Linked DNA regions of Schizosaccharomyces pombe. The gene in region 1 interacts genetically with each later gene. Each region holds a gene or a part of one and is shown in the gene's direction. Other genes may lie near its edges.

Region 1 (3,807 bases):
TATAGAAAGAAGTGGAGAAAATAAATTCGTTCTATAATGACTGGTCATCCAGGTAATTAAAGAGAGGGAGAAATTTTTGAGGTTGATTGTTTTCATCCCGCCCTTCCTATTAGCAATAAGGAAATTTGGTGTTGTTTATTTAACGAGATTTTTCGTGGGTTGATGGTATGTGGCTTCAGAATGGGATAATAACCTTGCATTGAAAGAGCAGGATATAAAGCATGCTTCAAAATATGTGTGCTATTAGCTATATTTTAAAAGACGTGTATTTTACCACAAATTTATTCTTCACATGTAATTTTCATACATTCACTTTTATTCTTATATAAACTAATGTCCCGTGGAATTTTCACTAAGCTACTACTATATTTATTCATAGAACGAGAAACCACCCTTTGTGGACATTTAGACTATTATTCTAACTTGATTCACGTGCCGTGTTGGTAAAAGCATAAGTTCAATTAAAAGAGCTTTTATCTCTAAAATAGAAGCAACAAATGCGATGCGAGTAGGAATGAAGTCAATTCTTAAAGGTAAAGCTTCTACCAAGATAAACTTACATATGAGTTAATAAATATTATGGTTAGGATACTCAAATTATAAGATAGCTTTTTGAGATTGTTTTTTGTTTGTAATATATTATTTTTTTTTTTTTTTCCTGTTTCGTTAGATCGTTATTTATTTTATTTTATTGTACTGTGTTTATTTTATTTTATTGAATAGTTCTTATGTGTGTGTTGTCTTTTTTAAATTTAATATTAAATGACATCTTTTTATTTTTTTATTTTTATTTTTCTTTAGCTTCACTTAAACCAATTATTCCTTTTAACTCATCGTCCATATTAACTATAATGTCTCCATACTATTTATGCTTCCTTAATTTCAAATTTCTCATTAACATTAATTTTACATCTACATCTACATTTATATATTTTTTTTTTGCAAACCTACGTAGAGTAACTTTCTCTTTTCCTTCGTTAAAACGATATCAATTTTAATACGAATTTACTCATTGTATTTCCATCTTTTCTCGTCTCCTCGCTCTAATCCTTTGTCGCTTTGATTTATTTGATTGCACTTACTCCATTGAAAACTCTTGATTCCCCGAACCCCCACATCCATCCAGTCCTTGAGAGATGCAAGACAAGAGAGGTTCATGGACCCAAGTGGGGTCGATTTTTTTTGGAGTGAGTTCCTTTTGATATCAATTGACCATGCTAAAAGCTTGACAAAAACAAGTATTTATCCAAGTGAGAACTAATTCACTAAGTAGATAATTTTTTGTTAAAGTTAGTTTTATGAAACGTACGTTTACTATTTACTCAAAAAAATTGAACCGAGATATCGGAGTCAATGCTATTCGCGATTCAAAAGAAAGATCAAGTGTTAACAGGAGCTTGAGTCGAATTTTCATACACTCATATACCCAAAGAAACACATTAATAAACAAACACCTAACTTGGCGTTTGTTTTCAAATACTAAACGAGCGCTGACGTCAATGGCTGATCGATCTATAGACTAGCGAAAATAGCAATAATTTGTACAATTGGAAGATCATAAGTATACATGGGTTTGAGCTTTTAGCGTGCACATTTTCGTATCAATTTCTTTTCTGAATGTAACTAAAAGACACTACAGATATTGTAGTAAATTCATCTTCCAATTCACTGCTTTGCTGTTAGGATATCGGGTACACAATCGCAAAATAGATTGCGGCAGCTTTCGGCCCCGCTCATATGTTTTCTATTCCGATGGAAGAAAAAGAGTTCAAATCGCACTCGCTTCCACACTACAACTACGCAATAACTCATCATTTCCCCACAAAAGTGACGTATTGTCCGTCGGCTATGTCCTAATGCAAAGCTTTATTTATTTGCGAGTTTTCCTCACCTTTTCGTCAATCTAATTTCAATCAATCATTTTTTTTACTTGCTTCATTTTCAAAGCATTCGTTATTCTAATCTTTTCTTCATTCTTACTATAACGAGATCATAAATTCTTTCTTGTTATACATACCGTTTCTACTTCGCTGCTAATTCTTTTTTTCTTTTGACATTTGTGCCTGTCTATTAATAATTCTTAACAGACATACTCTACTTCTCACTACTTCTTTTTTTCTAAGTTACAGTTTCTCATTAATTACTTTATCGAAAGATGTCTGTTTATCAAACTTACAAGGGCTTGCCAGCTGGTTGGGTCGCCCAATGGGATCCAACTTATCAAGCTTACTTTTACATTAATGAAACGTTTGAAGGTGCTCAACCACAGTGGGAGCCTCCTATTCCAGGCTTGCATATTCCTCCTCCTCCCGGTACCACTACCGTCGTCTATCAAAAGGACGTGCCTCGCTCTTCTGACGGCTCACGGTCTATGACGGCTGGATTAGGAGGTTTCATGGTTGGAGCTTTAGCCGGCAGTGTTCTTCGTGGTCACCGTGCTTACTACGCCCCTCCTCCTCCCAGAGGCCCTTTGTTTGGTCCAAGAATCGGTGGTGGCCATCATGGCCCACTTCATGGTCCTCACGGTGGTTTCGGCGGCCGCGGTGGTGGACGCATGGGTGGACGTGGTGGACGTGGCCGCAGATGAAAAGCGTTGATTTTTATTTAAATTTGGTTCCGATTTCGTCCTACATACTATGGTCGTTGATTATGGAATCGCTCTTTTTTTTTGAGAACATCACTTTCTCCTTTGAATAGAATCACCAAATTCACGTATACGACTCTTTCGAAATTGTTAAATGGAAAACACGATATCCAGTGAAGTTCTTTTTATTCCCTTGAAATTTCATACTATTTTTGCTAATCGTTCTAAAATTGTTATATTCTGTTAGTCGTTCTTTGACCTAATTTCTTGTTTACTTATATTAATTTTGTTATCATCTGATCTTTACTTGTTTCAAGCTTCCTTATTTATTGTACCATTGCATTCTTTATTGGGATTTCGAGGAAAACGGTCTAATTTATAAAATTTCTGTTTAATACCAAAGAAGTAAGGAGCATATATTATAATGGGTGTGAATATCGACGGAGTTGGTTGTCGATGGAATCATTTTTTTGGCATTTATCACTTCGACGTGTATTTACTTATTTATTTATATTTTTTTTTGGTTAATTGTAAAAAATTGGGTGAAGCACAATTTTTGAAACTTTTAAAAAATCAATGGTTGTTTTTTCAGACGTTAAATTAGTTTATTATGCATGATTTAAAATAGTCAATTATATATCTTTCATTTATTATTATCATTGTTTTTTCATTACTAGTTGTCCTTTTTTTTTGGGTATTTTAGTTGAATAGTTTATAGTGGTGTATTACTGACTATATAATTGGCAAACTCAGATATTTGTTTGGTTTTGGATTAAATGCACAATTCCGAAAAAATTAAGGCAGAAAGAAAAAAAATTTTTTTTACACTTATGGGATGTCATACCACTATTTTAAAAGACAAACAGATATCATTTGAATCGTTTAAAACCTGTATTTATCAAGCTGTTTAAAATAAGAGAAATATAACTTGGCTCTTGGATACACATAATGAAATAAGAAAAGTTAATATATTTCAAAATTAAGAAATATTATCTACGGTACAACATTTATTTGTTCATATTACGATTATTCAGTAAGGATACGTAAATTTGTACCTGGCAATTATCAAATGAATGTCGAGGGTTTTCATAGCAATGCAAAACCGTTTGTTTTTAAGCAAAGCCGGCGATTAAAAAGGGTAATAAGAGCAATTTTCCTTTTTCAATTAGCTATGTTTCAAGTCAAGCAGCATTAGTGAAACCCTGATATTCTGAGTTTGAATA
Region 2 (3,694 bases), 3.7 Mb from region 1:
TTAGCCATACCGACAAATTACGGATGAAATGCCACCAGCCAAAGTGTAATGCCAAACAGGTTGGGCAAACTCTTGCGAGTCCTTTTGCTTTGCAAGGCCCATCGATAGTGTTTGTTTCTACAATCGGCAATTAATTATTACAAAGCCGGAGGCGTAAGATTTGTTTAAATCTTATAACTGTTGGTTTAACTACAATCTCGGGTATTTTGTATTCACGTATAAGTGTAATGGGAGTTCAAAAATTTCGCCCACCGAATTACACGAACAAATACTGTTTGCGGCTTTTCCGATTAGACTTTTTGAGCACACATCTCAGTTAATATAGAATATTGATTAATTAACTTACCGGATGTAAGATGCCGGATCAAGTGTAGTTCACAGTTGTAAAACTAAAAAAAAAATCAATGTATACGGACGAAATTATGTAAAAAAAAGTCTTTGGCTGTTAAACGATCTTTTTAAAAATCTGCAATTTATTTAAAAGCCATGCAAGGAAATCCCAAAGTTTCCTTCCTTTAACTGAACACTTAAAGCCATAGTAAAGCAACTTTGAAATAACTCAAGTAATTTATTGAGCTTCAAAGAATTTGTCAATCCTGCTTTGTATTCGTGCTATCATTGAATACAATAGTCGGTACAAATTACTACTAGAGTTTGTACGCAACAGCTGGATATGACTAAAAACAAGAACATGTAGTTGTTAAATTAGTTAGTACTGATGTCTGCTACTTTCATCTTCTGTTTTCTTATGTTCAAAAGAATGTTATCGCTTAATATTTCAGTCTTGAGGAACGAAATGGATTTTTAAACGCAAGATTCCGCTTACATAATTTAATTGTTTCACAATAAAATAGCTATTTTGCTATATAAATAACTTTTTGAGATATTATAATCTGTTATTTTTTTAATAATAAATGTATGGTCAATTTCGTGTCCGTACGGATAAAATGTTAGAACATGCTACAAATTTCAAGAACAATCGCCTTTTGGTTTCTCGTTTACCCCATTCTGTTCGTTAGGCATTCTCAATTTAGTGCATTCCATACAACATCAATACGTTCATATTACAACATAAGACAGCTGAGATGGTAATGTGCAGGATGTATAAAAGTAATCCATCAAATACCACAACGAAATGAAATGAAAATTTATTAATTTTTTACTTTTGGAACACTTATAGCTCTTCTGTTGACAAAGCAAATATGCGTAGATTTTCCCTTCCTTCCCACGTTTTATTTACAGTAGACATCTGATAACTAAAATGTTTAAATCATTACTCTCTATTTTTTGGTAGCGCCATAAAAAAAAAACTATAAAAAAGCAATTAAAAAATAAAAATTTTATTATTTATATTAGTTTCTCTGTATATATGCAACTATGAGTGCGAGGTTTCAACACTTGTCGCATACACTCCTTTCTTGTCATGCACTTTTAAACAATTAAAGCGATTTATGTTAATTGCACATCAAACAAATTTATCGTAAAAGCTTCTTCAATTACTAGAAAAAATGAAGAAGGCTTTAGATGTATTCATACTCGACTTGACGTTTATCAAAGGTGAATGGTCTTTAGCTAAACCATTGCTCTAAGTAATGACTTTACATTACTGATATAACTATCTATCAATTCATGAAAATGATAAACCATCAAATACCTCTACCAATTACATATAAATTCCTCTTATTATCTTCTGTACCCCCTAGCTCGTTGTGTTTCACTATAGGGTTAGATGAACTGCATTTAACGATCGTCTCTAGGCCTGAAAAAAGCATAAAAATAGTTGATTTAAATTTTTTGACTCAAAAATGGGAGCCATTCTTTCGACACCTAAAACGCCAATAGAAGTTAGGAGGAAGAGAATTGTTCCTTTGTTTCGTGCTAATCACACACGATTTCGACCAGTTGATGAAAAGAACCGTATAAACGCTGTACCTCTTTTACTGTTAGGATGTTTGTATGGAAAGTACAAAGACGACGATTTTGTTGATTTTTTTGACAAAGCCATTCCGTTATTAGTACCGCAGACACACAAAGGTCTAGATACATACGAAATCGATGTATCCACATACAAAACTCACATAGGTCATCCAAAGTTTATTGAACCATTTGTACTATTCTATGGAGATAGGCTTGTTCATGATGCACGCTACAACCTCCATGAGTTAGTTTGGCAAACTTTAAGTCGCAACCCTGAATATATCAAAGGTCTGTGTTACGATAGTTGTACACCACTTGCTAATCTAGCCGTTGGTCTCAGTCTTAATATTCAAGAGGTTCTCATTGATTGTTTTGCTACTGCTGCTTGTTTTACAACAGAGGATACTAGTATTAATCCAATCCCTACCTTGCCTAGTGTTTTTTGTACCATAGTTGACGATGAGGGTATTTCTCTTAAAGAGCTTCTCTACATTATTGAAGAATCTCTTCTTAAAAATGCAATTCCTGATCCATTTTCCGTCTCTACCTACACTTTAAAGTCTGCCTTTGAGCATTTGGTGAAAAAAGATTTCCTAAAGTATTATACTGCGTATCTGGCGTCTTCTGCTGTTGACTACATAGATGCCTATTTTACTGAAAGTTTTGGATCTTTTTTTATTTCTCGTCTTGCTTCACAATTTTTGGTCTCTTTTCAGACTCTCCCTTCTTTCTTCTCCTTTCCTTTAGTTACTGATAATTGGCAACACTTGGCTGCTCTGCCATTCAACAGCACTTATGAAACCTTTCGTGCATTCGATCATCCTTCTACTAATGGGCCAGCTATCGGTCCTTTGTATAATGCCGCTCCAGCTCCCCGTTAGCATTTACTTAAGTTTATATTACATTTGTTTAGCATTTTTTTGTTAATTGAGTAGACTTAATGAATATTACTAAATGTCTCGTTATATGCACTATCAAATTTGTAAGCCCTCGTTGGGAAGTAACCCGAACAGCTCTCGTTGTGTTGACTCCTTTTATTCACAAAGCACAGAGAAGCTAGACATTGCCGGTGTCGTGCTTTTATCATCGCATTTTATCGTTTTAGTTTAGTTTTTGTTAACCCATAAAACCCCCCTCTCTTTAGCCTGGTTGCAGACAAAATTTGGTACCCTCAATATTTTTTGCTTCGTCTAACGCTCAGCTAGCGGTTATCTACCAACCATAGGTTATTACCTTTTATTTATATATAATATTTCTAGTAGTTTATGCAGCTGCTATTTCATTAGTTTCTTTGCATATGCTGAAAAGGGCTCATTATGTAGCCCTCCATGTCACTCTTAATCATAATGGGCTGTCTTATCAAAGAGTTTTCAGTTGCTTGACACAATTTCCTATGTTAAGGCATTCAAGTACTGCTGCCAAAAATAATGTTTCGATGATTTCAAAGTTTCAGGCCCCCGAAGATAAGTTCTTCCCTTCATTTTCTTTAAAATCTATGCCAAAGCAATCGTCGCACATGTCGGCTTCATTGCTTAATAGCCTTAATACCAGCATGAAAAAGTCATTTTCTCGTAAAAAGTACAGGGAAGCCGTAAGCTTGTTTCGAAAAAATTTATGGAAGTATGAAGAATCCTGGATACGCAATCAGGATTTCATCGACTGTTGCATAATAGCTTGTTCTGCTTATGAGAAATTATGCCAACCTTTGAGGATTAAAAAGACATTTATTATTTTGAGTCAGCTATGTCCAAAGTTGCCAGCTGAACTTTGCCGAGTT
Region 3 (3,332 bases), 3.0 Mb from region 1:
TTCTTCATCTTCCTCTGATACCCCTCCAGATACAGCGAATGGAACACTTTCCCAAAGTCGTTTGTTATCCTCAATGACTTCGTCTTCATCCTCCTCAGGATCCCAAGGAAAGTCAAATACCTTTATGTTACATTGTTTCAAATCCTTCATTATCACATCTTTGAAGTTCTTTAATTCTTCTTCAGTAAAAGCGTTGGAGTTTCCAATGACAGGAATTACGTTTACGCGCTTTGAAAACCGTTTCATGGCTTCCAAATCAAACTCAGACAGGCAATGTCCACGGGGTGCAATAAAATAAAGTAGGGCATCAACGCGCTAAAATATCGTTAGAAAACTTTTTTTTCATTCCTCATTCTTAAACCAATGTGTTCTCTTGGTTTTCTACTTAACAACATTAAATCAAGTAATGGAAGTAACTTGATTGAAATAGTTAAGGACGGAAAAACTTTGTTTGCAGATTTCGTACCGTATCAGTAAATTTAGAATTTCTTTTGATTTTAGATTCTTCTATCAAGGCTTGATCGAATTGGCTTTCCAAATAATGAGTAACTACCTCGAAACTAATGCATTGAAATTAGCTTTAATTTAGAAAAATACCTTTTGGTATTACCTAGCTGAATTATCAATTTTATCTCCGAAACCATTTACTTCAATGACCGTAAGGTCAACATGGAACTCATCTTCTAAAATATCTAATTACAGTTAGCACACGAAAATTAAAACCGTAATAACTCACCAGCATTAAATTCCCTTATTTCCAGTATTCTATCAATATGAGCTTTTAGCGGATCTATCTCTGTTTCAGCTTCCAGTATTTGTTTACTGCACAAGCTATTGATACAAGCTTGGTAACTGGTGTAGCTAGATCCTGCTACCATTATGCGAAGCTTTTTTCCCTTTTTTGATAAGAATTTTGGACGATGTCTTGGGCCTTTATTCATCTTGAAGTGTTTGCTGTTGGAAGAACTTGGGTTTGTTTGTTTACTGCTTAATAAAGGCACCGATACGTTGGCAGTATATCCATTTCGCAAACAAGGAAAATCCAGAAGATTTCTTTATACAAAACTTTTCAATAGTACTTTTAAATATAGTTTATATTTTTTCTTCCAGTATTCTTCTCTAAATCATTTTGTGCCTTAATCATCTTCGCATTGTCCAAAATTTAAGTAATTTAACCTTTGACCTTTAACGAGCCCTCTGTTCATTTACTGAGTTAAAATAAGGCGCTGATATTTTGCATTAATTCATGAGACTTTCGAGTTTATTTAAGCGACAGCAATTGTTAAAGGAATCATAATCATGAAAACCCAATTCCCATGCTTATTTTGCATCTACCACACAAATTTTGAATGATTGCAACAGTTGTACCTTTCGTTGCTACATATAACTTCGTAAACATAATGATGCTGGTAGATTTTACATAACGATGTTCGTTAATGTTTTAATGTTATGATATGCTTGTTGTGATTTGCGCCATAGCCCATATAAACGGCTTTGAGCAAATTTCATAATAAATTGAATTGTTCCTAAAACTCGGTTTATTTGCAAAGCCTAATACATAACTTGAGTTACACCTTCCTCAAAAATTGAAGTTTTTTTTTAGCGCAACAAAATTCTACTTTTTAAAAAGTGAAATCTTTAACTCTAGAGTATTGTATAAAAATCGAATGTTAGTAAAATAAACGTAACAGAACACAAGTAAAAGTTACAGCCTGCGAGTTTGCACGACTCTCCACTGTGTGCACCGCAAACCATCAAACGTTAGCTCTTTAACGTAGCGTACAAACTCGTAATCTTGAAATTCCGGTTTATGAAGTCGGTAATTAAATATACATTAATCAAATCTAGCTTCATTTTTTAGGCTCGTAAAAGAATTTGATTTGCTTAGCCAAAAACGAGCACATATTTAATAAAATTACAAAGTAATCAACCGATTACGAAAAGCGTGAGTTGAGCTGCAGGTTTAAGAATGCATCAAGTAAAACTCGAAGAGGCCGAGTACGAGTGGGATCAAACAATAGCCGATGTTGATATTGTCATCCATGTACCCAAAGGGACAAGAGCGAAATCCCTCCAGGTAGATATGTCAAATCACGATCTCAAAATTCAAATCAACGTCCCAGAACGAAAAGTCCTTCTCAGTGGTCCACTCGAAAAACAGATCAATTTAGATGAAAGCACCTGGACTGTCGAAGAACAAGAAAGGCTTGTTATCCATCTCGAGAAATCCAATAAAATGGAATGGTGGTCGTGTGTTATAAAAGGGCATCCCTCAATCGATATAGGCTCAATTGAGCCCGAAAATTCAAAATTATCTGATCTAGATGAAGAAACAAGAGCTACAGTTGAAAAAATGATGTTGGAGCAAAGCCAAAAGCGTACCGATGAACAAAAACGAAAAGATGTACTGCAAAATTTCATGAAACAACATCCTGAACTAGATTTTTCAAATGTTAGAGACCAGATTTGAATAGTTTCATGATTTTATATATGTATAATTACAATTGTTACAAAACTTTCTAAGCTCTATTGATAAAAATGTAGAAATTTCTGGTATTTGTAAAACTGATAGTACAAAGAAGGTATAAACAGCAAATCGGCATTCTTTTAAACTAGAAATAAATCGAGAAAGTCTTGGATAAAGAGCGAGTTAGTATAATAATATTAATAAATGGGTCATTAGCTAGCCAGCAATAACTTATGCATGATTATATACAACGACATGATGGGTGCATTGACAACAAAAACAAACCTAACTTCGGAACGGATTTTTAGACTCCGTCGAAATTGAATTTCTCGCTAAATCAGTTGGTTCAGCCAATTCCCTCGTTGAAAAGGGGTTTTTAGATGCGGTGTACGGTGTAGACATCGGCCTTTCAGGAACATCCAACTTTTGTCCAATATTAACTGGGGAAGCCGAATGGCCATGCGTGAACCCATTAGGAGAATGTTGAATAAATCCAGGAGACCCTTCAGGATACATAATGTGAGCAGGGGACGGTAGCGGACCCCTTGAGTCTTCCATGGCAGGAATCATAACAGGATACTGCTGATTCAATACAGGAATATTTGGCTGTAACGGTATGGTAGTCGGTTGTTGCTGCTCAAACTGCATTCCTTGATAAGAGGGTTGCCTTAAAAAGTTTTGAAAAGGATTGGTTGTTGAAGGATTTACAGGATTATTTTGAGCATACATGTTAACTTGGGAAATATTCAAAGCAGTGTTTGGAGAAGCTCCAGTTTGTTGCATCCCATTCATTGTATATTGTATGTTTGCCATCTGATTTCCAGCCATCTGGGACAAGAGTTGAACTTGCTGTAATTGAGGGGGG

Evidence for each region.
Region 2: mutations in wwm3 (region 1) and SPOM_SPBC1604.03C together harm fitness more than expected from each alone (negative genetic interaction), as found in Schizosaccharomyces pombe (one large-scale study listed by BioGRID).
Region 3: mutations in wwm3 (region 1) and nud3 together harm fitness more than expected from each alone (negative genetic interaction), as found in Schizosaccharomyces pombe (one large-scale study listed by BioGRID).

Annotation. Positions count from the first base shown.
Region 1 is NC_003423.3:200,381-204,187, forward strand, and holds wwm3 (protein wwm3), read left to right. Parts: upstream 1-1,900; 5' UTR 1,901-2,155; coding exon 2,156-2,587; 3' UTR 2,588-3,243; downstream 3,244-3,807.
Region 2 is NC_003423.3:3,925,209-3,928,902, forward strand, and holds SPOM_SPBC1604.03C (uncharacterized protein), read left to right. Parts: upstream 1-1,761; 5' UTR 1,762-1,805; coding exon 1,806-2,798; 3' UTR 2,799-2,891; downstream 2,892-3,694. Other genes in the region: SPOM_SPBC1604.04 (thiamine pyrophosphate transporter), read right to left, coding at 11-102; PPR repeat-containing protein Ppr1, read left to right, coding at 3,215-3,694.
Region 3 is NC_003423.3:3,229,552-3,232,883, forward strand, and holds nud3 (nuclear movement protein nudc), read left to right. Parts: upstream 1-1,840; 5' UTR 1,841-1,969; coding exon 1,970-2,470; 3' UTR 2,471-2,529; downstream 2,530-3,332. Other genes in the region: meiotic septin Spn7, read right to left, coding at 1-315, 467-560, 611-692, 737-941; yap18 (ENTH/VHS domain protein), read right to left, coding at 2,753-3,332.